Linked DNA regions of Alligator mississippiensis. The protein of the gene in region 1 purifies or fractionates together with the protein of each later gene. This does not show direct contact. Links are inferred from orthologs where the notes say so. Each region holds a gene or a part of one and is shown in the gene's direction. Other genes may lie near its edges.

Region 1 (7,184 bases):
GGGGGAGAGAGGAGGAATCCAGGTATCCCATAATGCCTTGGGGGAGTGAGTTTAGGTGTCCTATAAATCCTTGTGGGGAGTTGTATCCCATAATGCTCTGGGTATGGTCCAGGTATCCCACAGTACACTAGCACAAAATATCTAGGTATCCCAATCTTGCCCTACCAAGATGCTAATATCCCATAATATTGTGTGGGTGTCATGTGCCATAATGGCATGGGGTGGGGCAGGAGTCACATAATGCCCTGGGAGATGGTGTGGGGTAGGTATCCCACACTTCCTTGGGGATGGGGGAAGGATAGGTGTTCCCATAAGGCCCTGGAGGGTACTAGTGTATCCCACCATGGCATAGTAGAGATTTAGGTATGCTATTATGACCTGGGGCAGGTATTTAGGTATTTTCAACCTTTTTTTAATAAGTGTACCCCCAGCGGCCAGATGCAGGGAGGTGGGGGGGGGGGCGCATGGCATACAGCTGGGTGCAGAGCAGCAACAATGCAGGGTGGTGGGTAGTAGTGGCCACTGCATGCAAGCTTCCCCCCCGCCCCGTATCCGGCCAGCTGGGGAGTGCCTGTACAGCCTGCAGAGGGGTGCCACTACCCTTGCCTCCACTCTCCGCCCCAGCTCTGCTTTTTGCAGGGTGGCGGTGCTTCGTCCTCTTGCCCTCATGTACCCCCTAGGGCCTTCCCAAGTACCCCTGGCAGTATGCGTACCCCCAGATGACAACCTTGTAGCCTTCTATGACCAGGTCACACTGCCTGGACGCGGGAGCTGAGGCTGATGTCATCTTCCTGGACTTTAGGAAGGCCTTCGACACAGTTTCGCACCCTATCCTCATTGGGAAGCTAGCAGACTGTGGAGTGGATGCCTACATGGTCAGGTGGGTGGCCAACTGGCTTAGGGACCGCACCCAGAGAGTGGTGGTGGATGATTCCTTCTTGGCCTGGAGGGAGGAGGGCAGTGGGGTCCCGCAGGGTTTGGTCCTCGGACCGATATTACTCAATATCTTCATCAGCAATTTGGACGAGGGCGTGGAGAGCACCCTCTCCAAGTTTGCTGATGATACCAAGTTATGGGGCAAAGTTAGTACACTGGAGGGCAGGGAGCAGATTCAGGCTGACCTGGACAGGTTGGATCAATGGGCAGAGAGAAATAGGATGCAGTTTAATAAAGATAAATGTAAGGTACTCCACCTGGGAAGGAGGAACCCCCAGCACACCTATAGGTTGGGGAGTGTCCTTCTCAGCAGCTCGGAGGCAGAGAGGGATCTTGGAGTCATAATTGACTCCAAGATGAACATGAGCCAGCAGTGTAACAAGGCCAATCGCACTTTGTTGTGCATTAGCAGGTGCATGACTAATAGAACAAAGGCGGTGATGCTCCCCCTCTATGTGGCACTGGTCAGGCCGCAGTTGGAGTACTGTGTCCAGTTTTGAGCCCTGCACTTCAAGAGGGATGTGGGGAATCTCGAGGGGGTCCAGAGGAGGGCCACTCGCATGATTAGTGGCCTTTGTGATTAGACCCTACAGGGGGAGGTTGAGAGAGCTGAATCTCTTCAGCCTTCACAAGAGACAGCTGAGGGGAGATCTTGTGGACACCTATAAATTTATTAGGGGAGGTCAACAGGGAATAGGAGAAGTGCTGTTTACTAAGGCGCCCCAGGGAGTGACTAGGAATAATGGGTGTAAAGTAGTTGAGAGTGGATTTAGGTTAGATATTAGGAAGAAATGTTTCACAGTAAGGGTGGCCAGGATCTGGAATGGGCTTCCAAGAGAGGTGGTGCTATCACCTAGCTTGGAGGTCCTCAAGAGGAGGCTAGATAGTCACCTGGCTGGGGTCATCTGACCTTGGTCCTCTTTCCTGCCAGGGGCAGGGGGTCAGACACGATGATCCATTGTGGTCCCTTCCGACTCCTACAATCTATGAATCTATGAAACCCTTGCCATGGGGGGTGGGGGGAGGAACAGGTCCCATAGTGCCCTGGCATTTGTACCTGTGCCTGGTTGTAGGTGGCAGTGGCCTGGGCCCAGGCGCACTGACACACATTTTCCAGCTCCTCCAGTTCCAGTGCTTGCAGCCCTAGCACCACCTGTTGCTGCTGCTCCAGTGCCTCTGGGGGTGGGGTTGGGGGGGGGCATTACTGGGAGAGAACCCAGGTATTCAGGCTCCCAGCCCTTCTTGCTTTTACCCCCCTAAGCCCCATTCCCCTCTCAGAGAACTGAGGAGTCTGGGCTCAAAGCCCCCACTTCCCTCCCAGAGAACCCAGGTGCCCAGGCTCCGAGCCCCAATGGAACCTTGGCACGTAGACTCCAAGCTTACCCCCCATTCCAATCCCCCACCACTACAGAACCCAGAGGTCCAGGCTCCCACTGCTCAAGCCCACCAACAGCACTCTCCCTTCCCAGAGAACCTAGGCATCTAGTTCCTACCAATCACCGATGGAGTCCCTCTCGGCCTGGGCCTGGTTCTGGGCCTCACACTGCTGGTCCAGCACCTGGTGCTGCTCATTCTGTTGCTCCTGGCGCCGCACTACCACCTCTGGGTCCTCACCCTTGAAGCACTGAAGCCTGGCAGGGCCAGGGGGGCCCTGATCCTCCAGCTCTGCGGCCTGATCCTGGGCCTGCTGCTGGGCCCAGGTGGCCTCCAGGGCCCGTCAAAGCCCCCATGCCTGTTCTTGCTTCTTGGCCTCCAGTATCTGGGCCACCTGGGCACCCTGCAGGTGCACTACATCTGGGGGAGAAGGGGTCAGAAATCTCTGCTCCAAGGGAACCTTGGAATCCGGGTGTCCCTGGGGCCTGAATTTTTTTTTCCAGGCTCACCAAATGCCTCCTCCCGGCATTTCTCAGTCTCCTCTCGCAGCTTCCGCTCAGCCACTTGGCATTGAAGGGCTTCCATGTCTACCTAGATGAGGGAGAGAGGCAACGGCAAGATGGGTCCTGGATGCCTGAGCTCCCTTGGCTCTGATCCACCAGACCGTATCCCTCCACCAGACAACCCAGGTGACTGGGCTTTCAGGCCCTCCTGCCGCCCCGCTCTCACCTTCGCAGCCCCCACACTCGCCTCCTGGAGTCCCCTGGTGTCTGGGATCTCAAGCCCCACTTCTCTCACCCCCTCAGCCCCCACTCCCCTCCCAGGGCACCCAGGTGTCTGGGCTCCAAGCTCTTTTGCTCTACCCCAACAGACTCCATTCCCCTCTCAGGGAACTTAAGTATCTGAGCTCCCAGTCCCTCCCTGGTCCAACCCCCCCTAGCCTCTACTGTCCTCCTGGAACAGGGAGGGAACCCAGGGATCTTGACTTATTCCCATGCGGCAATAGCGAGGGTTGAAGATCTGTGTCTGACGCTGACGCTCCTTCTCCCTCTGGGCCTCCAGCACTGCCCCCACCTTGTGGGGCAGGTCTGCCTTGTACATCCTGGGGGAGGGGGTGGAAGTGTCAGTACCAATGGGAGAGAACCCAGCACCTCCTGCTCATCCACCAGCCCCATTCCCCTCCCAGAGAACACAGGTGTCCAGGCTCCTACACATTGGCCTCCCTCTACCCTCTCAGAGCCAGGAAAGAACCCAGGCACCTGGGTTCATGACCTAACTGTCCTTCCCTGATCTTTTGACCCCTTCCACTCACCCTTACTTGCCCCCAAACAAAATTCCCTTTGCTTCCTGACCTTTGACTTTTGACCCCAGCCTGTCCCCAGTCTCCTCTGCCCTTTGACTCCCAATTTACGTTGGTCCCTCTTGACTTCTGACCCCTGTCTTCACCCGTATTTTTGACCCCTGTGCTCTCTGACTGAACCCTCCTTGCCCTGCTCCGCTTTGTCTCCGAGGCCTTCTGTTTAAGATCCTCGTCTCCATGGTAACAGGCCAACCCATTTCACCTCAATCTCCCCTTCCCATTGGTACAGCCCAACCGCAGTTTTATGCAAATAGCGGGTTCCCCGCGGGCCAATTAGGAACGAGAGTTTGGGAAGAGTTTATTTGCTTGTTATGCAAATAAACATCCCTATTAAGTAGAAGGGCGGGAGCCCGAATGCAAATAAGGCCCGGCGCCTCGCGGGCTAATAAGGAGGAAGAAGCGGCCAGCTATGCAAAACGACCCCGGGAGCGCCGACCAATCTGAGGAAGCCTTGGAAAGAAGCCCTGCCCTTTTATCTTGGACTAGTTCCTCGCGAAGGCCGGTGCTCTCGCGAGATTTCCTTATCTTGGCGGCAGCGGCGGGCCAGAAAACAGTGAGGGGGTAGGGCTGTGAGTCGGTGCTCCGGCGGGTCTCAGTAGGGCCGGACGGGACGGGACGGGACGATCCGGTCCGGTGTCTCGCCACCATGGGATTCCTCAAGCTGATCGAGATCGAGAACTTTAAGTCCTACAAAGGGCGGCAAATCATCGGGCCTTTCCGCCGCTTCACAGCCATCATCGGGCCCAACGGCTCCGGTACGCGGGGCCTGCTGGAGGACCTCCCCTACTCTAGTGGGCAGCTGGGTGTTACGGCCCAAGGGGGACGTTTAGCTTAGCGGCGGGCGGCTGGAATGTACCACTGAGACCCCTGTAGGGTGAGGGGCTGAGGGGGGTGGTATAGTCCGGAGGGAAACTTTCGTTTGGTGGCAGACGGGTGGGATGTTCCATTGAGACGCGGTGGAAGGGTCCACGGATGAGTGGGTAGGCGGGGGGATAGGTCACCCTTGGCTTGGCGGTGGGCAGTTGGAATGTTCCACTGAGACCCCTGTGACGCACGCTGGAAGGGCCCTTGAAACTCTCCTCTATGCTGGTGGAAGGGTACAAAAGCATTTCTTCTCCCCCCCCCCATATTGCGGCACTAGGTGCCATAGGGGACTTTCCCCACATAGGAATGCTATTGCCCACAGAACTCCCCCCACCCATGACATGGATGGTACAGTCCATTGGCACCCCTCTCCCCCCATCCCACATTAAAATTGAACAGACTGTGGCTCCTGGGGAAGGGTATGGCTCAGGAACCCCCTGTGATGCATCTCCCATCCCACAATGCATTGTGCCTGCCACCACCCCCTGCAACAGGGGTCTTTCCCCCACAGGGATCCTCCGACAATGCATTGTTTATGCCAATCTTCCTGCTATCCCATGAGGCCTTGCCCTGTTGACATACCTTCCCACAATGTATTGCTCATGCCAACCCCTTCTTGCTGTCCTGTAAGACTTTGTCTCTCTGATCCCTTTTGCTGTCTCACAATGCATTGCTTATGCCAACTCCACCACTGTCCCATAAGGCCTTGCCACTTGATTTGCGTTATTTCCACAGTGCATTGTGTGTACTGATCCTTCCACTATCCCACAATGCATTGCTCATGCAATTCTTTCCCACTATCCTATAATGCATTGCTCATGCCAACCCCTGAACTCTCATGAGCCCTTCCTTGCACCAATCTCCTATCCCAAAATGCCTTCTCCACACTGAAATCGTATCACTCAACATACTTCATGTGCCAAACACTACTTCACTATTCTATAATGCCTTGCTCTGACTGCCCCATCCCTGCTATCCCATAGTGTATTGCTTATGCTACCCTTCCTAGTATCTCATGATGTCTTGCCTGCATCAGTCCCCTGCTATCCCACAATGCCTTGCCCACACTGAGGCTGCACCCCACAGTACACTGCACCTACCAATCCTCCTACTATCCCACAATACCTTGCCTGCGCTGACCTCCCTTCTGTCGCACAATACCTTGCTGGTTCTGCAGGGAAGTCAAACTTGATGGATGCCATCAGCTTCGTGCTGGGTGAGAAGACAAGCAACCTGCGGGTGAAGACTCTGCGGGACCTAATCCATGGGGCACCAGTAGGGAAGCCGGCTGCCAGCCGCGCCTATGTCAGCATGGTGTACGCGGAGGATGGCGCTGAGGATCGCACCTTTGCACGTGTCATCGTTGGTCAGCTTAGGGGTGGAGCTTGGGGATGGCACAGTGGGGAAGGGGTAGGGCTTGAGAGCAGGGGGAGGAGCATAGTGGGGAAGGGGTGGGGCTTGGACATAGTGCAGGGCTTGGGAGAAAGGGGAGGGGTTGAGGGTGGAGCTTGATAGGGTAGGGCAGAGTGCGCTTCTGGGCTGGAGCAGAGGAGGGTGGAGAATGGGTGTGGCTTGGTTAGGGGGCAGGGCTTGGAAAGGGCAGGGCTTGTGGGTAGGGGTGCAATGTGGGATAGTGGGAGGGTGTAGTTTGGGGCTGGATATGGGGCTTGAGGAAGGGATGGTGCTTGTCAAACTGAGGGAAAGGGTTGGGCTTTAGAGAAGGAGGAAGCTTGTGGGCAGGGGAGGGGCCAAGTGGCAAGGCTTGGGCAATGGTCAGACCAGGGGAAGGAGCTTGGGGGAGGGGAAGGGTTGGAGGGTTGACACTGAGGTTGGGAGGATGCAGACTCCATTCCCTCCCCGTGCTGGCCTTGACCCCCACCTCTCCAACTCATTAGGCAGCTCCTCAGAGTACAAGATCAACAACCGGGTGGTGCAGTTGAGTGAATATAGTGAGGAGCTAGAGAAGCTGGGCATCCTCATCAAGGCGCGCAACTTCCTTGTCTTTCAGGTGGGGGTGCTGCCTACCTGGGATGGGGCAGAGGAGGAGGAGGGTTATGGGGCTCCATTGTGCAAGGGGTGGAGCTGGGAGGGAGGGGGAGGGGTATGGGACTTGTGGTGTGAGGAGTCTTGGGTGTATGGGGGAAAGGGGGGCCCAATCCTGGCTGGGGCTTGGGGGGCATCTTGGGCCTGATCATGGGGGTTGGGAGGTGTATTCTGGCCCCAATCCTGCTGGAGGGTAGGGTCTTTCAGGGCTAAATCCTAGGATCTGTGGAGGGGGGAGGTTCTGGCCTTAATCCTGGGTTTTTTGGGGTGGTTCTGGGCCCTATCCTTACTGGAGGGGCAAACTGGTGGTATGCTGGTGCTGATCTTGTCTGGGAGGGTCCTCGGTGTGATACTTCAGTTTGAGGAGGTCCTGTCCGTGATCTTGGGGATTGGGAAGAGGATCCTGGGCCTGGGAAGAGGTGGGATCCTGGGGCCTGGTAATGATGCCCTGACCTTGTCTTCCATTGGCCCGGGTGGCAGGGGGCAGTGGAGTCGATTGCCATGAAGAACCCCAAGGAGCGCACAGCACTCTTTGAGGAGATCAGCCGGGCTGGGGAGCTGGCTCCTGAGTATGACAAGCGCAAGAAGGAGATGGTGAAGGCTGAAG
Region 2 (7,683 bases), on another chromosome or scaffold:
AGGTATACCACATCCATCAGTCTCCCCACATCCACAGAGCCAATCATTTCATCATACAAGTGTGGTGGAGCACCTTTGGGGTGCTTGCCATGCAGCAGGGGCTGCAGTAGGCTGGGGCACAGCCCAGCAAGGAAGGCAACCAAGCAAAGCCCTCAGGGTTCAGGTGGCCATAGTTGTGCCTGGCCCTCAGTTTCCCTCCTTAGGGTCTCTTGGGGTCTTGTACCCCTCAGGGCTCAGGTGGCCATAGCCATGCCCGGCCCTCACTACCCCTGGTGTTACCAGAACCACACAAAGGTGAGCACTAGAATTAAGGCACCCCTACCCGCCTCTCACCAGGGTGATAACTGGCCTGGCATTTCCTGGGTAATCCCATGCCACTGAGAGCCCCACCAAGCCACCCACTCCTGGCAGGGTGCAGTTTTAGGGCATGCCCAGAACCAGGAGCCTGCTAGCCCTCCCCTACAGCTCCTCCCTTACCTCCAGGATGATACATGAAGCCTCACAGCCAGGCAATGTTACTACCTCCCTGCCAGCAGGGAACTGATCTGGTTATAAAGGCAGCCAGGGATCTAAAAATGGCTGCCACAATCAGGCACCTGCTGGCAGCTTGGATCAGGCCCTTAAAGTGGCAGGCATCTACAATGCCCTGCCACACACCTCCCCTCTTAAAATGGTATCTGGGGGAGGTTTCACCTGCTGCTCCTCCAAAGCAGGCTCCCCTCAGAGCCTGTGAGAGCTCTCAAGTGGCGAGCATCCTCAAAGGTGCTCTGCCACAACAAGTCAATCTGGTTGGTGATTGCCCTTGGTGAATCCATGCTGACTGTGCCTAATCACCTTCTCCTCCAAGTGTTTAGAAATGGCTTCTCTGAGGATCTACTCCATGATTTTTCCAGGGACTGAGGTGAGGCTGACTAGTCTGTAGTTCCCTAGAATCTCCTTTTTCCCTTTCTTAAATATGGGCACTATATTTGCCCTTTTCCAATTGTCTAAGACCTCTCTCAATCACCACGAGTTTGCAAAGATAACAACCAGTGTGCAAGCTCATGAACCAACTCTCTCAGCATCCTTGGGTTACTGCACATTCAGTTTAGTATTTGTAAAAACCAGGAATCCTGGTTGTCTCTGATAAAAAAATCTCCAATTTTCAGATTAAATAAAGTAACCCCAAATCCACTTTTCCCCGTGATTAAAATGAAACACCACTATATAGCTATCTATATATTAGTGGTGTTTCATTTTAATCATGGAAAAAAATGTGGATTTGGGGCTACTTTTTTTAAATCTGAAAATTGGGGATTTTTTTTTTAATCAGAGAAAACCTGGATCTCTGATAATAACAGGTACTAACTGAATGCACAGGAACCAGTGCTACTGCAAAGTAGCACCAGCGCACAATTTTTTGTGATGCTATTAAGAAGACTAATTCTGCTGTGCATTAGGTCATTAGCATGACTTTTGCTGTGACATGCTAATGACTAGAATTAGTCTACTGTGTATGTAGCTTCTCTTGTAGATATGCCCACTAAGAGGATACTGAGCCTTAATGCTCTGAGGAGAGGCTGAGTGATTTAAACTGCTACCTGACTTGCTAGAAGAAATGAAAAACATCTGGTAATTAAACATTTACCTTTTATGGGGGGGTTTTCAGGAAGAGGACACCTAGTAGGAGATGGGGGTCACACCCAACAAAATAGAGATGCCTGGTAATCCAAACCTAATTGAACTTTTTCTACAGACAAAAAATAAAGTCTACAGGTTTTAGGTTCTATTTGCCTTTTATTGGTCCTTGCACATATTTAGGCTATACAGATATATTAGAAGCAATACTGCTTAATGTAGAGAGCCACATTTTCAAAGTTACTCTGTATAAAAATTTCAGAAGTGTTTGAAGTAGTTTGTGTGTTTAAATCCCATTGGAAGGCAGTGAGTCACTTTGGTTCTTTTGAACATTTTCCCTTTATCCTTAAGTTATTATTATAAAATTGTAAAGCTTTTTATTTTAATTAGCTAGGCCTACAGCCATCTGCTGAATGCCTACCAAAAAAGAAGAAAGGACCATCAGTGCATAAGTTAGATTAAATTTATCCCCTGTCTGCCACAACTCCCATCAGGACCCTTCAGTGAATATGTAATGCTTTGGAATACAAGATGCGTGGGACTCTCTCACAAAGACCAGAAATGGAACTTGTCCACAGGGGCTCAGGTACATGAGAGCTTAGAAAGAGGTTGTTTTAAATCAAGTTATAGCTGATGAGGATCTTCAGTTCTTCTGGTCTTCCACATACTAAGCTTTTAACAATGATGAAGGGATTCTTCAGGATCTGATGCCTTGCATTTGAAAGTTTGTCTAAATTTATCCCAACCATGTAGTTGGTCCAATACAAGATATCACCCCAAAAAACCCTTGCCTCTCCAGAACTAACAAAAATTTATCATGGGTCAGTGTTAATTAGAATCCTGAATTTTAAACAGACCACTTATTAGCTTCCACACAAGATAACCAACCAGAAAAAATGAACTCACTTTTATGTTACTTTTTTTATTGTAACTTACTGCCACCAGTTCTTCAAAAGCTATCAACCAAACTGTTAAAGATCTTTATCTTTAACCTTTTAAACTTATTGTCATCCAAAATGAATGTCTCCCTTTATTACCCAAATTATACTTGTGCTCTTAATCACATGACCCCAATATATTCCTAATTACCTTTTTTCTTCTCCAAGACCAATTGTGTCATCTCCCTAAAGCAGGGACGGGCAATTATTTTGGACAGAGGGCTGCTTACTGAGTTTTGGCAAGCCATTGAGAGCCACATGACAGGCAGCCCAGGGCAGCTTAATATTAATTTTCTAAATTTTTAGGGGCCCTGCAAGCCGGATAGAATGGCTTGGTGGTCCGCATTTTGCCCACCCCTGCTCTAAAGAGTGTGTGTGGCTCACAAACCCTACAAACTATTAACATATCATGACTGTGACTGAAGGTTATAAGTAAACACAGAAATTCAAGCCTATTTGTTTCATTTGTTGAGTTTGCAAAGAAGAAAGAAATGTAGCCTTTTAATTCTTTTAAATAAGCTTTTAAAATGGATTTAAATAAACCTGGATGAATGAAAGAGGAAAAAGAGCAAAAAGAAATCCCTGACCACAATCCTTAGCTAATCTCCCAAATCACTCCCTTCCCTCTTGGTTTAGTAATAGCAGTCTTCCATCTTTCCTCTTTAATTTATATGTAGATTTATCCTGAAAATCCCTAGTCAAATTACTCAGAATTTGCAAAATCAGGTCTCTCTGCTGTAGAAGAGTTTTGCCTCCAAGTCTTTTTCTCAGGGGGTTGAGAAGTTTAGGACTAGGCTTGAACTGTGGATATCTTAAGTTTGTAAAAACATTGTATCAGTAAAGCGCCATCCTTTATGAGAAATATGAGCAACTAAATAAAGACTTTAAAAAATCTTTCACCTTCTAGAATCAGATTGTTTTTAAATTTGGATACTACTGTATGTTTGTTTGATACAATCTGTATGTTTTGTCACTACACTAACCTTTACTTTTTTTTAGAGGGTTTTAACATCATTACTTATCCCTCAGAAGTATGTAGTTATTGTTTGGTCTTTACTAGTACTAGTGGAAACAGTGGCATGTCTTGATAAAAATGTGGAATGAAGGCCTTTGGCATTGTCTTCCACATTGCCACTTTTTATAAAATGTGTGCTGAGGACAGGCTATAGCTGCTCATAAGGCTGAAATTTTTGCAGTTAGATTGGCATCATATGGTTGGATAATACTGTCTCTCTCTTTTTGCATTTTACTCCAGAGGAGTTAAGGTTGTTTTGGTGCTTTAATTGCACGACAATCATTTCTAAGATCAAGTTTCTTTTAAACTGAGTAACAAAGCGGGTCTGCACACATTTTAACTGTTTCATGTTGTCACTTAACCAAGCACTAAAGGATACAGTTACCTTCCATTCCCCTCCTGCTCATTTTCTTAAAGTTATTCAGAACCGGTGCAGGTGCTTGTGAAGCCTCCTACTGAGTTGTGCTTCTGTAATTTCCTTTTTTTTAAATATGATTTTTTACAGTCTGCAGGTGAGTGTCCCAGGCTTGTCTGGCTCTGAATTCCCAGCTCCGTGGAAACGCGGGTGCTCGCTTTTGCTTTCCTCGGTGCTAAGGCTGCAAACAGACGTCGCCTTTCCAGAGGGAAAAGAACGAGCGTCGCAGCCCCTACCAGGCCGCCCGGGGCCCCGGCCGCTGCCCGCCCCGAAGGAGCCCGGCCCCGCGCGGGGTCCCCCTCCACGGTTGCAGGCGTGTACGGAAATCCCCGGCTCCGCGGGGCGCCCATGCCCCTGGGGACTGCTTGGGCCAAGCCCCAAAAAGGCAAAAGCGGGGACGGCGCAGACTGTACCACCAGCAGCACGTGCGAGGCAGACACCGGAAGCAGGCGCTTTCCCCAGGCCCCGCCCTCCTAGTTCCAAATGAGGGCGGCCCCGCCCTGTGGAACCACAAGTCCCGGCAGCTCCTCGCGCGGCCGCGCACGCGTGCTGACGTGACAGCTACGCGGGGAAGCGCATGCGCGGCGGCGTGCGGGTCGGTTGAGTAAGGTGGGGTGCGATTGGCTGCGGGCGGCGGCGAGTGTGGGAAGCGCAGTGACGGAAGGAGCGGGGGGCAAATGGCGGAGAGATGGTCCAGGGCCCTGTTCAAAGCGCGGCGATAATCCCGGCGCGGAGAAAGCGGCGCCGCAGGAGGTGGCGCCGGGGGCCCTAGCGCCAGCGCCCCGCACTGCCGCCGCCCCGCGCAGGCCGGATCCCGCCGCCGCGGCGCAGGGGCGTGCAGGAACCGCCGGGGCAAGCACCCCTGCCTACGCGGCCGGGCTCTCGGCGCCGGACCCGGGCGGCCGTGTCCGCGGGGCTGAGGCCGGAGAGCACCGCGCGCCGAGCCGTGCCCCATTGTTGCCGGCCGCCGCAGGCCGCCGTCCATCCTGCGTGACACGGAGGTGAGCGCCACGCCGGGCCGGGCCGCGGGACCGAGGCCCAGGCGGGGAAGGCCCGGCGCCTCTTGCCGCCCGGCTGCGCCTCGTCCCCAAACTACAGTCCCAGCTCCGCTCGGGTCTCCTCCTCCCCCCTCCTCTCCCCCCGGGCGGAGCGGAGGGAACTGGAAAGTTCCAGCAGGGCCGCGGCCTCGCCCAGCTCGGACCCGGCAGTCCCCGCGGGTGTGGGGATTGGGGGAGACTTGGACGCCCCGCGGAGGCGCTTCCAGGCCCGGCTGCCTGCCATGTCCAGAGTATCAGGTGGCCTCTAATTCGGGCTGGGCAGCATCGCCTCTATAGGCTGCCGCCGCTTCTCTGTTTGTGGGGAGCCTGAATTGGGTCAGAAGTAGATGGCGGGACCTGGGTCCGCCGGGCCGGCTGGGGGGGGTGGGGACGACGGGAAATGACATCATGAATTGGCCTGTATTTAAACTAGCCTCCCCCCCTCCCCCATCTGCACATGGAGAAAGTAGCTCATCCCATTCAGTGTCTGTCCGCCTCTGCCCTGCTCTCCTCTGATGCTGTGTAAGGGGGAAGGTTTCAGGGAAGAAGTGAGGATGAATGGCACCTCTTTGCCTGGCAGCTGTGAGCTGGGCCTACTTCGGCCTCTGACTGTACTTCCCCCACCTCCCAAACGCAGTGTTGCAGATCATAGGGAGAAGCAGCTGCTTTAGAGACTGTTTTTTCCAGCTATAGCAAAGGTTTTGCTTGCATTCACATGTTTGCAGCACTAGCTGTGTTGGGTCAGAGAAGTAAGTGGGGGCAGGGAATGGAAACAAGAAAATGAAACTGAATAAAGTTGCCCAGACTGAGTGAAAAGCAAAGAGGGAGTAGGAATGGGGGCAGGATTTGTAATGTTTTAAAGTTGAATCTGTTAATGGTTTCTGGATCTTCAAAAATGAAAACCAACCAGCTTGTAAATCTCTTGAGCCCTGGCTGAATCTGTTCTCTTACATCTGGAAGAGAAGACAATTAAGATAAATCCATTTGTGTAGTGAATGCAACTTGGCCAAGTCAAGAGAGATTAATTATTGAGTGAGTCTTAGTAGCTTTGACCATCAAAATGAATTTGTTGGAGAACAGTTTGGTCTTTTGGGCAAACCGAGTCAGAAATTTCAAGTTGGAAATGTGGACCAAAGTGAAAAAGAAAGCAAGACTTCTGCATTTATATGATGCCAGAAGTGTTTGTGACTGCTACTGCCAGTCATACCATGGTTATCTGTACGTATGTGGGAGGTTGTGAAGTATGGTAAAGCCTTTCAAATACTTGGCAAATAAGAAACAAGGTCACTTTATCAAGCCAGCTATAGACCCAAAATTAGCTTTCTAAAATGTGTTCTTACAAATCCTAGGAACGATGAAAAAAATTCCCGTAACTTTAAAAAATCCCAATGCAAAGTGGTATGTGTGGAGTCCTATCGCATGCTCTCCCCTCTCCCTCCCCCCCCCCTTGCAGACAACAACTTCTTCCCTACTGTATGTGTTTGCTGTTCTTAGTATTGTATGTGCAGACTCAAAAGATAGACCTGACCAGAAAGTGACTGTAACAATAGCTGATTTAATCTATTAATACTTTCTGGACTTCAGCAAGGCCTTTGACACTGTCTCCCACCCCATCCTCATTAAAAAAACTAGGCAACTGTGGCATTGATGCCTACACAGTCAGATGGATTGCTAATTGGCTGAAGGGTCGTACTCAGAGGGTGGTGGTAGATGGGTCATTTTCAACCTGGGGGGGAGTGGGCAGCGGAGTCCCCAGGGCTCGGTCCTTGGGCCCACACTGTTCAATTTCTTTATCAGTGATTTGGACAACGGGGTGAAAAGCAACCTGTTCAGATTTGCTGATGATACCAAAATCTGGGGTGAGGTGGGCACGCTAGTCGGGAGGGAAAGACTGCAGAAAGTCCTGAATAGGTTGCAAGGGTGGACTAACAAAAACAGGATGCGTTTCAATACGGACAAGTGCAGGGTGCTGCACTTGGACAGTAGTAACCGGCAGCACACTTACAAGATGGGAAACTCCCTTTTTGAGAGCACAGAGGCAGAAAGGGATCTTGGAGTCATCATTGACTCCAAGATGAACATGGGCCGACAGTGCGAGGTCACGGTCAGCAGGACTAACCGGACCCTATCGTGCATTCACAGGGGCATCTCAGGTAGGGCCAAGGAGGTGATCCTCCCCTTCTATGTGACACTGATCAGGCCACAGCTGGAGTACTGTGTCCAGTTCTGGGCACCCCACTTCAAGAGGGATGTGGACAACATTGAGAGGGTCCAGAGGAGGGCCACCCGCATGATCCGGGGACAGCAGGGCAGACCCTACAATGAGAGGCTACGGGACCTGAACCTGTTCAGCCTTCACAAGAGAAGGCTGAGGGGGGACCTTGTGACCATCTATAACTCACTAGGGGGGACCAGAAGGGTTTGGGGAGACCTTGTTTCCCCTAGCGCCCCCTGGGATAACAAGGAATAACGGCCACAAGTTATTGGAGAGTAGGTTTAGATTAGACATCCATAAGAACTACTTCACAGTTAGGGTGGCTAGGATCTGGAACCAACTTCCAAAGGAAGTGGTGCTAGCTCCTACCCTGGGGGTCTTTAAGAAGCGGCTTGATGCCTACCTGGCTGGGGTCACTTGAGCCTAGTTTTCCTCCTGCCCAGGCA
Region 3 (7,775 bases), on another chromosome or scaffold:
CTTTCCTCTGGACTCCCTCAAGCTTCTCCACATCCTTTCTAAAGTGTGGAGCCCACAATTAGATGCAGTACTCACCAACGCCAAATAAAGCCAGACTTTTATTTGCTTTGCCAGCTGTGGCATCACATTGGTGGCTCATGTTCATCTTGTGGTCAGTCATGACCCCCAGGTCTCTTTCGGTTGTGGTGCTAGTGAGTGTAGCACTGCCGAGCCTATAAGTATGATGTGGGTTTTCTCTTCCGAGGTGGAGTACCTTTCATTTCTCAGTGTTGAATGCCATCAGGTTTTGATCCACCCACCTTGCAAGCCTGTTCAGGTCAGCCTGAATTGCCAGCTTATCCTCTAGCGTGAAGCACCTTTCAGCAATGGAACCCTATGCATCTTAAACCACTTTATAAAGATGAGCAAATAATAACTCAGTTCTCCAGCTAATGAACTGATGCACAAAGTGGCTACATAATTTATCCAGGGTCACAAAAGAAGCTAACTTAAAAACTGGGAATTTAATTGATAAATCCTGATTTCCCGGTTTCTAATCTAACCTGCCTCTATTGGTATAGAATTGTAAGAGAGTCTTATTTACTGGTTATTATTATTTTAGCACATTTGACATACTAGTGGCTTCCCACCCCTCCTCTAAAACTGGATGGTTATATTTGTACACGAGAGGCCAGGAATTTTTTAATAGTCCTATCTACTGCATGTTATACAAAACAAGCTTATACTAATATGCCAAGCAGTTCTTAAACTGAAAGTGTTGTGGAAAGTATTTAAAAATGAAATGTTAAAAAGAATTAATTAGTGTTTTCATTCTGGAACCAAGAATGAGAAATCGACTGTTTATTTTCTCCATGTATATGTGGTCATCTTAGCCTCAGTGTATGAATCATAGTGAGCTGAGAGACTAGTGGAGTGAACTTTCTGCAATTTCTTGGTCAAGTACAACCAGATTTTGATTTTACCTTATTAGTAACTGGTATGCATCCATGTATACAGTTTACTAAATATATTTTCATAACATATATGCATGAGGGCTAAATAAAAATTCCATGGAGAAACTTGTCTGGCACTACATACTTTTTGAGTTCTTATAACATTTTCTTACGTTAGCTATTTTTGTACTTAGATTTTTAAAGCTACAGCACAGACTTCAGCTGCCTGAGCAGACATGATGACAGGTAGCAGTAATAGGCTATTATTTACTCTGAATCATTATGTAGGCTCAATTTCAGGTTTTGGAGAGAAGTGCACTTTGGTAGTTATAGACCCTTCCGCCTCTCTCTCCCCTGCCCCCAGCTTGTGCATGTCCTAAAATCCTCACAGTTCCTGCTCTCATAATTGTTTGTTCCTACAGACTACAACTGCAAGTCTTCTTTCCCTCTCTTCCTCTGCTTCCATTCACTGCCATCCTGCTTCCTGATCCTGTTTTTTCTACTTCTATACTCCATGCTTTGTTGCTGTCACTTCCAATTAACCCTAGTTAGTGCCTTTGTATTGGAATTGGGCTCCTTCTTGCTGCTTCTTGCTATCAAGACTCCAGCATGAGGAGCACTGAAAGCATGGGAGTAACAGTTTCCCTAATCTCAGATCTGGAACAAGGCATGACAGCAGCCTTCAGAGCTATGAGAAGCAACGGAAGAGAAAATCTCTCAAGCACCTGCAAGTCTAGGATGGACTCTGACCAGGTATCATGTAAGAGAGGTACAGGGACTGAGCATGCTCTCTGGAGGTAGATTCTTTGGAGGATAAAGCTGCCAGCTCCAACAAATCTAATGAGCATGTATGATCTTCAGTTCTGCAAAAACTTACAGCTTTACCATATTTAGGGTTATTTCCATGAAAAGACACATTTTTTACTCTTGCCAAGTTTCAAGTCCTTGTTCCAAAGGTGTGAGAATTAAATGGATAGGGGCCCCTCTATACCTTAGGTGGATGTATGGGTTCACTGAAGTCGGTAGAAAATTTATGAATGGCTTCAGCTGGGGTCAGAATTTCACCCACTGTGTTCAGGAAACTGAAACTAATATGAACCATATCTTAAAATGAACAAGGAACTGCTTTTTGTATTTGTCTTCTCAAGCTGAGGAGAAACCACCACTATATTGACAGAGCCTGACAGTACAAAGGTACTGCTTAAGAAATAACAGACTAATTACTAATCATAGAACATTAGGGTTAGAAGAGACCTCAGGAAGACATCTAGTCCAATTCCCTCCTGAAAAGCAGGACCATCCGCAGTTAGATCATCCCAGGCAAGGCTTTGTTTAGCCAGGTCTTAAAAACCTCCAAGGATGGAGATTCCATTCCCTTTCTGGGTAACCTGTTCCAGTGCTTTACTAACCTCCTTGTGAGACAGTTTTTCCTAATGTCTAAATTAAACTTCCCTTTATGCAGCTTGAGACCATTGCTCCTTTTTTTTGGTCATCTGTACCACTGAGAACAGTCCAGCTCCATCCTCTTTGGAACCCCACTTCAGGTAGTTGAAGGCTACTATCGAATCCCTACTCAGTCTTCTCTTCTCCAGACTAAATGAGCCCAGTTACCACAGCCTGTCCCCAGAAGTCATATTCTCCAGCACTTTAACCATTTTTGTTGCCCTCCACTGGACTCTGCAATTTGTTCACATCCTTTCTGTAGTGTGGGGCCCAAAACTGGGCATGATACTCCAGATGTTGCCTTACCAATACTGAATAGTGGGGAAAAATCACTCTCCTTGATCTGCTGGCAACGTTTCTACTAATGCAGCCCAGTATGCCATTAACCTTCTTTGTGCCAAGGGCACACTGTTGGTTCATAATCAGCTTCTTGTTCACAGTAACCCAAGGTCTTTTTCTGAAGAACTGCTGCTTACCTAGTTGGTCCCCAGCCTGTACTGGTGCATGGAATTGTTCCAGCCTAAGTGCAGGACTTTGCACTTGTCCTTATTGAACCCCATGAAATTTCTTTGGTCCAATTTTCCAATTTGTCAAGTTCTCTCTGAATCCTAGCTCTACCTTCCAGTGTATCTACTGTTCCACCCAGCTTGTCATCTGCGAACTTGCTGAGGGTGCGCTCCATCCCATCTTCCAGTTGATGAAAATATTGAACAAAACCAACCCCAGGACTGACCCCTGGGGTGCACTACTTGACGTTGGCTGCCAACTAGACATCAACCCTTTGAGCCCAACAATTCAGCCAGTTTTCTATCCACCTTACAGTCCATATACCCAGCCCATACCTAGGTTAATGTTTATATTAAGAACTGGCTTGTTTAGCCATTTCTAAAAAGTTTTCTTGCCAAACAAGTTTCTGCAACTTTTACAGTTCTCAAAAATGTACATTTTAATTGGTCAGGTTGCATTTTTATATATAAAGGCCATTAAAGTTTATATCATAATTATTTTGTCTCGTACATATTGATTGTTCACAACTTATCTTTATTTTTCTTTTAATTATGTGTGATTGCATTGTTTTAACACAGAAAAGGCCATTAGCCTGACTTCTCACTTCTATGACACAGTAGAAAAAGAGAAAAATATTCCTCCTACCATAGAGGAGTTGCAGAAGCTACAGGAATATTTTGTGATTCATGATAGATGTTCTCTGAAGTGATATCTCAGCCAAAGGTGGAGAGAGACAACTGGAGTAGGCAGTCATTTCTCAATGTTGTCAGTTTCCATTTCAGTGTAGGTAAACGTGCTCTTTTAGAATACAGACTGCGATGGACCTGCTCTGGCTTCTTTTCAGACTTTGAAGAGGTTCTCAAAATCTCTTTGGTCTCCAAAGGGCTCCTGAAGACTTGCTAAGTCATCATTGACCACAAGATGAACATGAGCCTGCAATGCGATGCTGCGGCTAGTAAAGCAACCAAAACGCTGGCTTGCATCCATAGATGCTTCTCAAGCAAGTCCCCGGACGTCATTCTCCCCTTGTACTCGGCCTTGGTGAGGCCACAGCTGGAGTACTGCGTCCAGTTTTGGGCTCCACAATTCAAAAAGGATGTGGAGAGGCTTGAGAGAGTCCAGAGAAGAGCCACGCGCATGATCAGAGGTCAGGGAAGCAGACCCTATGATGACAGGCTGAGAGCCCTGAGGCTCTTTAGCCTGGAAAAGCACAGGCTCAGGGGTGATCTGATGGCCACCTATAAGTTTATCAGGGGTGACCACCAGTATCTGGGGGAATGTTTGTTCACCAGAGCGCCCTGAGGGATGACGACTAGGTCGAACAGTCATAAACTACTACGAGACCGTTTCAGGCTGGACATAAGAAAGAATTTCTTTACTGTCCGAGCCCCCAAGGTCTGGAACAGCCTGCCACTGGAGGTGGTTCAAGTGCCTACATTGAACACCTTCAAGAGCAAACTGGATGCTTATCTTGCTGGGAACCTATGACCCCAGCTGACTTCCTGCCCTTTGGGCAGGGGACTGGACTCGATGATCTTCCGAGGTCCCTTCCAGCCCTAATGTCTATAAAATCTATGAAACATATAGGGTATACTTAGTCTTTTCTTGACATAAGTAATCTTGGTCTAGGCTTAGGTCTGTTATGCACTATCATAATATGAATAATTACCATAATAGTAACAATGAGTACATTCAATATTCTCTGTCTCTCTTTGTTTTCAGAATTAAATTCCTTGAAAGGTTTGACAACCAATGACCTACAAGAAAGCCAGACCAATTATTTGTATATCAAGAACAGGCTGGGGGGAGGAACAGATTAAGACAACACACTTCCCAGTTAGAAGGGCAGTCCTTTGAATGTTTCAGGATTAAGCAATGGTTTGCCAGGAGTGTGAGCCTCTGTGAAATTCCAGCCCATGTTTAGTCTACAAATAACCATGTAAGTAGTAGCCCTGCTTTAATTTAAAGCTTAACATTAAGTGCCAATGGGGGATGTCTGCTAAAAATGTTGGTATCTGCAGTGTGCTGGACACATCAGAGGTGTAGATTTTTGTGAGTTCTTTTAACTTAGATGCTTAAATTCCACTGAAGTTCTATTTTAGATGCCTGTGTTCTTTTGTGAATCTTGCCTTTAGCCTATAGATTATTCACATTTCAGTTAATCAGAACTATCACAGATATTGTACAGTGAAGCCAGTGGGATTGTTGATTATAAAAGGACCAGGCAAAGGAGAGAATTGATGGGGGTGTATACAAATTAATCGTCTGCCACATAAAAATTGGAATGGAAAAATCAAATTAATAAAGGTGAGAGAGGTAAAAACAAAACTTGCATCTGTTAACCTTCATTCACATGACCGTCTCCAAAGGTCTCTTTTCCAGATTTACTGAATATTCTTGGTAGAGTCTGTTAACTTATTTTTAAGATAGTTTAGAATATAAGTAAGGACTTCATGGCAGAGCCAATTTCGAGGGCATTTCATGGTGTCCATGCCCCTCGATGCTGAGTGGCAGAGAAGCCCTGCCCTTGGTGATGGTCGGTAGAGAGGCTCCAGCAGAGGGAGGAGGGGGAAGGGGGCAGCTGCCATTTTATCTGCTGTCCTTCATGCTGCCAGCTGGCACCTTCCCCTCCCAGCAGCAAGGACCACTGGCTCTCACTGTGGAGCTAGCATTTTATTTTGAAGGGTTTTTGTTGTTGTTGATTTCACAGATTTTGTGGACAATCCTGGACTTCATGGGTTCTGCAAAACTGCGAATTAATAGGTCCCTAAATATAAATATTTGAACAAAAGTGGCTTTTTAGCACAACCAAATCAAATGGCTGGTTAGACTTCTGTCTTATTCATATTCTATAACTCTCACGCTGGTCCTTTCCTTTCTTCTAATGAAAGAACTAGATCTAGATGGAGTGTTTCATAGCCTGTTTCTTCTTGCTGGGAGTTTAATACCCTACAAACCCAGCAGATATAAATCAAGGACAGGGTGCAAAAGGCACAAAATAAGTGAAGTTTATTCTAAGATAGTAGTAATAAAAGAAGTATTTAATAGATACTGAGACCACACAAGACTCATGTATAGTATCCAGTCCTGGTGATTTGTTGTTTTTTGGAAAGCAAAAAGTCTGTAATGGAACAAAGCAAGTCTGTTTCATGACTGCTGCTTTCTACTTTAAAACAGAGTAATGCATAACATAGCTGGTGTAGACAGATGAAACATTTACAGTGTTTTAAAATTCTATCAGAATCCCATGGGTTATGTTGAATGATGTTACTCTTTAGTTCAGTAATAATAGTTCAGGGTACCATTGTTCCCTGGGGCCCTGTGAGATCCTTTTAAGGATATCATGCAATATTAGGTGTGTAAACACCTACACGATTCACAAGATAAACCCAGAGATTTCAAGTGGGAATCAATAGTGTCAAAGCCTTCTGATCTGTTGTAGTCTTTCTGAGCGCTCTGCAACAGAAGAATTGCTCTTATTTTTTCATAGTCAGAAAACAAGTGAAAGCTAAGTGGTGGCATTTTCTGAGGGGTACCTTAACTCTAAAAAGATTGAGAACCACTGCTTTAGACTGTCAGCATTTATACTGTTATAAGTGGAGCTATAAACTACTGGAACTTTAAGCCCATTTCATTCAGGTTTAAACTTACATTGGTTTAGTCTGTCTGAAATAAGTTCTCCATGACCCACTTTAAAAGTGGTATGTTGCATACTTGTCCACAACCAGTGTCTTCTGGGGTGATTTGAATTAAAAGAATGTGGGTCTGATGCACTGAAGTTGAGATGTTATTCTATGTAAGGAGCAGCTTAGAGGAAAGCATAACTGTGAGAATGGGAGAGGGAAAGAAATTAAATGTTGAGGCTGTCACCATGGGTGTAGTAAAAAATTGATAAGCAACAATAAGGAAATAGATCAGAGAATAAAAATGATGGGAACTGGGCAGAGTACTGAAGGCAAGAATGGTTATAAGGAAACTGATATGTACACATCGTGGTCTTCTGTGTTTAGGGTTATGCAGTGAGAAAGGGGACTGGGGAAAGACATGCAAAGTTTAATGTATTTTCAGGTTTTTTCTTGAATGCCAGTTCCCATTACTGAAGAAGAGCCAAAATAGTTAAAAGAAGATTAACTGGATTATGTGCATTTCCATCTGAGGTAGTTATATTGTGCTTATTACTGTACTCTGAATTCTTTACAATCTTTAAGACCTACAAAAAACTAGAACTCTTAGTTCCAAAACGGTAGACCAAGTGGGAAATCGCAAGAAGATTATCCTTTTCTGCAAGCTTTCGGGATCAAAGTCCCGTTGTCCGGCTCTGAGAAAAGTATAGATGGTACAAGATGGTAAAAAGTCCCCATAGGTAGGAAGTAAGCTTCATTTTTTTTCACAGAGGGAGCTGAAGATGGAAGGCTGTCCCTCTGGGTCCATAATAAAATGCATCATTTTGAAACCAAGAGTTCTAGTTTTTTGTATGTCTTCTGGTCTCAGACCAACACGACTACCAAGTACACCCTTATAATCTTTAATGGATTTATCCTAACTACCTTCCTGCAAAGTACATAAATACTATTATTACCAATTTTACAGATTTAGAGTTAAGACAGAAACTGAAATCCAGATCTTCAGAAGTATTTGGTGCCTAAGTCCCAGTGATAGAATGCACCCTAACTGATCCATTGTTAGGGCTTCCTAGGTGCTACAATAATACAAATATAACATGTCTGCAACTTTTGTCTTAAATGTAAGATAGTGTTTTGTTTTGGAAAGTTTGACAACTAATGGGTACAGGGAAGCCAGACTAATTATATTGACTGCAAGAAGGCAGTTGGTGAGTGAGAAAACCTGTTTCTTTCATTTATTTTCACTGTATACCTTGTTACAACAAGGACA
Region 4 (7,246 bases), on another chromosome or scaffold:
ACTTAACTTGATCTTAAGGTTATTTACTTCTAATGCTGAATATTCCCCAATGAATCAATTATATGGTGCAATTATTTGCTCCTGTGGATAAAAGTCAATGCAGAAAACATGATATTATATTTATATTTTTTGCAGACAGCATTCATCGTTTCCTCTCTTATTCATGGTCGAAACCAAGACTTAACACCAAAATCTAAGTAAGTTTGATGCATTAAATTTAGGATCCTATGCGACTCACTTTACAGTGTATCAATATACACTTATCTCCCAAAAATACATACAAAATTTTTAAAATGCCATTTTTTAAAGTATAGCCATTTTTTAAGACTCTTTTATATATACAGTTATATGATAGACAATCCTTAAAAAATTCTGGCCACAAAGAAATAAGAAATAGCTAACAGTTAAAATATATATTTAACTGTTAGTTATATAGGAAGTTGTACAGCAAGCAAAGCTTAAAACGAGAGGAACTTGATTATACTAAAACCTATCCAGGCACAAATAGAAAAGATTGAGAAATATAAATATTAACAATCTAACAAGCAATCAGATAATATAAGTGTGTACATCAGAGTCTATGAAAACATGGATATTGGATATTTTTAAATGCCAGACTGCACATTGCCCGTAACTAATTATTCAGCTTCATAAACTAAATATCTGGGGACTTACCCTAAAATCCAAGAGGCCAAAAAGTGTTCTCTGCTTCTGAATAGTAGATTTATAGATACAATTTTATACATCCTTCTTGCAAGTTTATTTCACCTGGTAGTAAAAAACAGTAGTAAAACATTTATGACTCAAGCTTTCTTCTTTTATCCTTGAAAGAAATATTTTCTCTATGTTATTTCTTGTGTGTATAATCTCTTGTTTCTGACTATTTTGTAAAAATATTGAAGTATCAGTCCACTTTGAAAAATACAAGAAATATTATGAGAGTTAACTGATGTTCCATATAGTTTAGATTTACAGCAAAGATAATAATACAGTTAGAGGAAAACATACATTCTTAACTGCCTTCACTTGACTTCAAAGAGAGTAGAATGAGGTTATGAACTTATCAGCTCTGTGCATAAAATTATTTCCCCAAACTTGTGATTCACTTGCAGGCCAGGGGCCTACAGGAAGAACAAGGTTCAGACCTGTAAACTAGCCTTTAGTTTATCATATTTTCTAATATTTTGTTTTTAGAACTTCTATGATACCATAATCTTTCTCCTTTTTGGACATCATGCATGTAAGGTGTGATGAATTTTTGCATATTGAATTGTTTTGTATATATGTACATGAACCCTCATTCTTGTGCCTACATGGAGCCCCAAAATAGAGATAATGAGTCATTGTTATCTAGCTTGTGTGTATCAGATTACAGGATTGTGAGGGATCTTACTTTGTACAAGTTAATACAGAGTAATAATTGCTGTAGATAATTATAAAAGTTATTTTTCATTTAAAGAGCTTAATTTTGTATATCATAACTTTCAAAGCAACCACTGCCTCAAATGTAGGGGGCTGGAATCGATGATCCTCCGGGGTCCCTTCCAGCCCAAATGTCTATGAAATTATTTATAACTTGTCTGATACAGATAATAATAAAATAAAAATGACTGCTTTCCTAAGTAATACTCTGATTAAATAGTAATACTAATTGATTAAACATGGCTGATGAAGTATGAAAAAAGGGCCAGTCTCAATCTTAGTTAAGCTTATGATAGAAATCTAACAGAGGCACAGGGGTGCATTTTATTACCATGCCATTTACACTAGATAGCCACACTTTATGTTGGAAAGACATGATACTGAAAAAGAAAGTTGCATTTAGTGCAAATCACTTTATTCCATTCTATAACTTTCTTTTTAAATATTTAATCATGAAGGTAATTAGTAAAACCATTTAGAGAGTCCATCAACTTGAATCTTGCAGTAATACAAAGTTAGAAAGTAGAATGAGGTAAGTATTACACTTGGCCTTGCGTCCTTGTGCTAAATTTATGGTTTTATAATCAGATTTCCTTATTCCTGCTTTTCTTTCTGCCTGCGCAAAAAATTCTGCATAAATAAGAGGGGAAGCTGATGCACCCTGATTCTCCATGCTTAAAATTACAAAAACAACATCTCAGCTGACTTACACTAAGAATGTGTGTGCGCAACAATATGAAGTCCTGGGGCCTAAGGATCAACAAGTTCCATATTTTGCCTACAGACAAGGATTCCCAGAATTAACTGTGTACAAGCAACTATATGAAGGACTGCTACATTCATAAACTAAACCAAATGAAGGCACGGGCAAGAGTTTACTCCTCTTACCTTTTAATTAAAGCATTATTAGGCCCTTTGTCTATAAATGCTTAATTCTGCTAGCATGAGTAGCTCTAGTGAACAGTGAGGTTAAACACATGGGTATTTACAGAACTCAGGATTACATGTTATTTTTAATTAATAATAGCAGTCAACAAGTTTTCAAGAGAAATGTGGCTTAAATTGACCGTGTCTATAAAATGTACATAAAGATTTATTCATATAAAATTAGCATATTTGGAACTAAACCACAATATTCTCTAATCACATCTCTCTCAGTCTGCACCCAGAAGCACACAAAGTCTTAGAATGGATTTTGAGTCATCATTTTCCTCTCCAGCATTATGAACTGGATCATTTTATTAATTTAAAGAGATGCATTTGAATCTGTGGTAGCCACAGAACACACAAATGACACAGAAGCCAGGCAGGATTCAAGTGCATGGATGCAGGACCAATGCATGGCTCTCTAAGAACTCCCTTACGGAAATGAGGTCCATCCAGAGCTGACAGAAGCACAACACCATATGCCCAACTGCTCGGTGTCTTCATGGCTCAGTCCTGCAGTCTTTACACATCCTAGATGCCAGTCTGATTATATGGAGTTTCCCCGAGGAAGGCTGGGTAGGAACTATAAGAATGGCAGAAAAGGAGGAGGTTAATGCGTATAGGAAGGAGCCTTGGCTGCCATGCCAGGCTGGGATCATTCACAACCCATTTTACCTGAAGAGAAAAACAGAGCAGCTTCCAGATTAGGGCAGTCCCATTCTGCAACCTTTCCTTCACAGCCCCAGTGCTGGCTTCCAGGAAATCTACCAGCAAGCCTTTCAGCTCCCAAGGAAGGACCCTTCACCTCAGCATCATTTTTTTTTTTTTTAATTCTCCCGTATTCGCTCAAGAAAGCTGGTTTTAAAAATCATTCAAATTCGGCAAGTAATCGCTTGACCCAGGACCACTTTCACCATCGGGCGTTTCAGATCTGGTGACATCAAGCCTCTTAAAACACGTAAGAAAAAACAGGAGAATTTAAGATCCAGCAAGTGTCCCGGGTCTGGCAGCTCCACTCACTGCGCGGGGGAAGACGACCTTCCTCGGGGATTCACGCTCAGGCTCCTCTCCAAGTCCCTGAAAGTCGTCCTCCAAGAAAAAATCCTCCCTCAAATGGTTCCTCTTCACGAGCCGCCGGCTGTCTTCCTCCTGGCGCAGGCCCGGGCGCAGACTCCACTCCCAGGCAGCAGCTCGGAAGGGGAAAAGAAAGAGAAACTCGGAGGCAGAAGCAGGGGTGGGGACGGGGCCGCCGCCCGCAGCGAGGAGCCGCGGCCAGGGCAGGGGCGGCCGCTGCGCGGGGCAGGGCGGGGAGCGGCGCGGCGGAAGCGGGGCTCCCTCCTTCCCTCCCTCCCTGGCTGCCTGCGCGAGCGAGCGAGCGAGGAGGAGGCAGCAGCGGCGGCGGCGGCAGCAGAGGGAAGGGGGAGGCTGTTGGTGTTTGGCGCCGGTGGAGGGAGTCATTCCTGCAGCTGCACTTCCGGTCGGCATTTTGTTCTGAGAGGGAGAGAGACACACAGGATCCTTCCCCCTCCTCCTCCGCTCCCCCCGCTTGGTACCGACTCCCGGCCCCAGGCTGCCCCCTCCCCCGCCCCCACACTCACCCGCGCGGAGGGAGAGGCGGCGGCGGCGGCAGCGGCCCGGCGCGGTGTGCGCCTCGGAACCGGTTCGGCCCGGCCCGGCCCGGCCCGGCCCAGCCGTGTTGATGTTGTGAAGCAGGCTCAGGGGGAAGGGATTTGTCTCGGCCGCTCACCCCCCGGCTCTACATGTTCGCTGCACTGAGGAGGAGACGGAAGAGGAGCCAGCCCCCCTCCCGGCCCGGATTATTGTTGTTATATTATCTCCCCTCCTCCTCCTGCTCCGCGGCGGCGGCGGCGGCCCAGCAGCGGCGGCGGCTCCTCTGAGGAGGGAGGGGGGCGGATTTCTCTCCCCCGCTCTCGGATTCTCGTTGGATTCAGACGCCGATTTGCTCAGGTAATCCCCCCTCCTTGTCTCCCCTTCCCCTCCCTGCGCTCTCCAGCAGCGGCCCGGGCCTCCCAGCCCTGGCGGCCCGGCGCTGCCGGGAGCCGGGGGGATTCGCTCTTCTCCGGGAAGCGGCGAGTAAGTGGCGAGCGGAGGGGTTTATTTCGCCTCCCCCCGCTCCTGCTGCCCCGGGGTGGGCGGCGGAGATCGGCTCGTCCCGGGCTGCCGGGAGGCGCAGGCCCGGTGGAGGGCGCAGGCCCGCCGGCCAGCGCCTTCACTCCAGCTCGGGGATTAGAGAGGCGAAGCGGCTTCTCCGTGACAGGCCTCAACCCGGGGAGCAGCAGCGGCAGGAGGAGGAAACAATGCAATTAGCAGCAAACGTGCCCTGATCCTTTGCCATATTTACAACTTCTCTAGGGCCGGGGGACGGTCCCAGCGCAGACAGTCCTCCGCGAAGTGGGAGAGCGGTGTGAGGAGCCGGGAAGAGAGACAATGTAAATACCCAGAAACAAATATAGCCATTATCGTCCCCGGGATCTTCTCCTGGCACAAACTCCAGGGTGAACCTGAAGAAGTTAATGCGACTAGATTTGTATTCTTTAAAGAACAAATTTCTGAATTCCCTACCAATTGATTAGCGTGGCAATGTCCAAGTTTATTTATAGCCTAAAACTAGCTCTTGTGGAATGATTGACACAAGGCGAGCACCTGCAGACCCCAGGAAATACACACAGACAAATGTTTGAGGTTGGTTACTAACATAATCTCCACGTTTACATGCTCAGTACATTACGTAAATATTAATATAGAAGAAATCCAGGGGTATGCTTTCTAATAAACTGAAGAAAAGGGAAAGGGGTCTTTACAAAGTGTAAAACTGTGACATTTCAGGGATCAAGGTAAAGATGGGCCCAGAGTATTTTAAGGATCAAGATGCATTAAAATTGCTGAAAAGTAAAGAATGTTAAAAAGTGCAATCTTTTCTTGTCAGGACAGACCACTTTGAGGACCTGGGGTTGTTATTGGCTGTTTGTGTCCCTGATATTTGAATATGTAATTAGGTGTCATCTTAACAGGTCAAATGTGTCTGTAAATGGCTGGTGATTAAGTATCCCTTTTTAATAAATAAATGGTAGCAAACTTAAGAGTAAAGTAAACCTTGGATTTCTGTGTGCTGGAGTTAAGAATAGTGTTGAAAATCTTAATAAATTTAAAGAAAACACTGTTAACTGATTAAAAAATACATATTTCCAGTTCAGCTGTACAGCTAGAGGGGAATTTAGCCTAATCCTGCTGTTGTAATACAAAGTTTCATATTTAATATTGAAAGGAAATTTATAAGTGGCTAAAGTGTAGCAACCTAGCATAATCTCCTGCCCCACTATTTTGTAGTGAGATTTTTTTTTTTTAGTTGTTCAGGGAGATCTCTGTTAACAGTATGTTGCTAATGTGTCTATAAAAGTAACTTTTTGGTGTTTTGTGCTTAGGGTCTTACTTATAAAGGATGTACTATCTTGCCTCTAAGCGTCCCAATACATGTTTAAAAGGGTGAAGTTAATATAGCTGTCACGTAGAAGGCGTGTTTTTAATGCTGTAAATCCGTGTAGTAGTCAGTAGCGTGTCCGTGATTTGTATTGGTCAGGGAGCAGTTTGAATTTTAAAAAGCCTGAAGATCCTGCTGAGCCCCAGCCCCGGCCTCCCTCCCTCCCACTAATCTCCCATTCCTGTCTTTGTGCTGCCTGGTCCTGTTAGACACTGTTTGCAACAGGGCCTCAGGCCTACATGCGTGGAGAGGAACCATTTACACTCTGAAAAAGCAGCTTTTATTTTTAAACTTTATGAATTGCAGAGGGAGCCACGAGTGTCTCTAATTGTCCTTCTCTGTGTGTGTAACTGAATCGCTGTTTTCTTTTGGGCCATAGCATGTGTGGAGGCCGAGTGTAGCAGTAGTTTACAGGAAAGAAAGGACTGTGTAGAAATAGTAGTAGCACTTGGGTAGTTTTCATCATCAGGAAGCGACATTAGTTGTAGTGTTTCTTTCCTTGTTTGCTTAAAACAGGTCTCTAGTATGTGCAAAAACTTAGTTGCTGTTAAATCATCTTGATTTGTGCACTTTAAATTTTAAGGATGTTTGCTTTAAGTATGTAAGATGAGCTGGAATTGAGGTGTTGTAGTTATGTAGTTCCTGTCAAGTCTCTCTCATAATATGTTCAGCAGCCTTTAAAAAAAATAAAAAAACATGCATTTCTAGATATTTTTATCTTATGTATGTAAAATAAGAGACACTTATAGACATCTTTAATTTTAGCTGTGTATTTGTGTTTTGGATTTATTTTTTCTTTAAGACATGCAATGTTGTAGATTAAATATGAATTATCTGGTTCATCATTGGCTACTTAGTGATAAGTTTCTTAGGCTCAGAAAAATGCCTTTAAATGTCTGAAAATATAAAAAAAACCCCACTTCTCAGTAAAGTGTGTAGAGTAAGATTTTTTTTCCTTTTTCTTGTTATTGCATGTTTGGTATGAAACAAAACAAAAAGTAGGGGAAAACCAGAAGTATTTAAATTTCATACCTGCTTGATGGTAGGAGATTGCATACATGTCCAAGAAAATATCTAAGTGACATATATGTATGACCAAAAAGAAAATGTCTTTAAAAAGAAGATAAATGCAGGTATTTAAATAAAGTATAACTTAACAGAACTTAAGTTATAACTTAACAGAATACCCGTTAAATAAAAAGAAATGCAAAACTCCAGAACTCTTTGTTCAGAGATGATACCTTTTATTAGACCAACTAAGAAATTGCAAAAAAGCCCCACAAACCCCCACTCAAATGGTTTGTTGTTTTGTTTTTCTGGTGTTTTTTGGTTTAAATTTGTATTATTTGTAAGGCTTCTAAGGTTACTCTGCCTGAAATGAAAGAGAGAGAAAAATAT

The links.
Region 2: the proteins of SMC1A (region 1) and WAPL purify together in Homo sapiens (affinity purification with mass spectrometry; 7 studies listed by BioGRID and IntAct, with this or other methods). This does not show direct contact. The link is inferred for Alligator mississippiensis from reciprocal best matches to the Homo sapiens genes SMC1A and WAPL.
Region 3: the proteins of SMC1A (region 1) and PDS5B purify together in Homo sapiens (affinity purification with western blotting; 8 studies listed by BioGRID and IntAct, with this or other methods). This does not show direct contact. The link is inferred for Alligator mississippiensis from reciprocal best matches to the Homo sapiens genes SMC1A and PDS5B.
Region 4: the proteins of SMC1A (region 1) and NIPBL purify together in Homo sapiens (affinity purification with mass spectrometry; 3 studies listed by BioGRID and IntAct, with this or other methods). This does not show direct contact. The link is inferred for Alligator mississippiensis from reciprocal best matches to the Homo sapiens genes SMC1A and NIPBL.

The regions. Positions count from the first base shown.
Region 1 is NC_081831.1:28,313,708-28,320,891, reverse strand, and holds the start of SMC1A (structural maintenance of chromosomes protein 1A), read left to right. Parts: upstream 1-4,176; 5' UTR 4,177-4,316; coding exon 4,317-4,425; intron 4,426-5,711; coding exon 5,712-5,900; intron 5,901-6,429; coding exon 6,430-6,542; intron 6,543-7,057; coding exon 7,058-7,184. UniProt on the Homo sapiens protein: Involved in chromosome cohesion during cell cycle and in DNA repair. Central component of cohesin complex. The cohesin complex is required for the cohesion of sister chromatids after DNA replication.
Region 2 is NC_081829.1:42,183,426-42,191,108, forward strand, and holds the start of WAPL (wings apart-like protein homolog), read left to right. Parts: upstream 1-4,678; 5' UTR 4,679-4,986; intron 4,987-7,683. UniProt on the Homo sapiens protein: Regulator of sister chromatid cohesion in mitosis which negatively regulates cohesin association with chromatin. Involved in both sister chromatid cohesion during interphase and sister-chromatid resolution during early stages of mitosis.
Region 3 is NC_081824.1:424,476,236-424,484,010, reverse strand, and holds the start of PDS5B (sister chromatid cohesion protein PDS5 homolog B), read left to right. Parts: upstream 1-4,758; 5' UTR 4,759-4,798; coding exon 4,799-4,821; intron 4,822-7,775. UniProt on the Homo sapiens protein: Regulator of sister chromatid cohesion in mitosis which may stabilize cohesin complex association with chromatin. May couple sister chromatid cohesion during mitosis to DNA replication.
Region 4 is NC_081826.1:278,648,599-278,655,844, reverse strand, and holds the start of NIPBL (nipped-B-like protein), read left to right. Parts: upstream 1-4,228; 5' UTR 4,229-4,317; intron 4,318-7,246. UniProt on the Homo sapiens protein: Plays an important role in the loading of the cohesin complex on to DNA. Forms a heterodimeric complex (also known as cohesin loading complex) with MAU2/SCC4 which mediates the loading of the cohesin complex onto chromatin.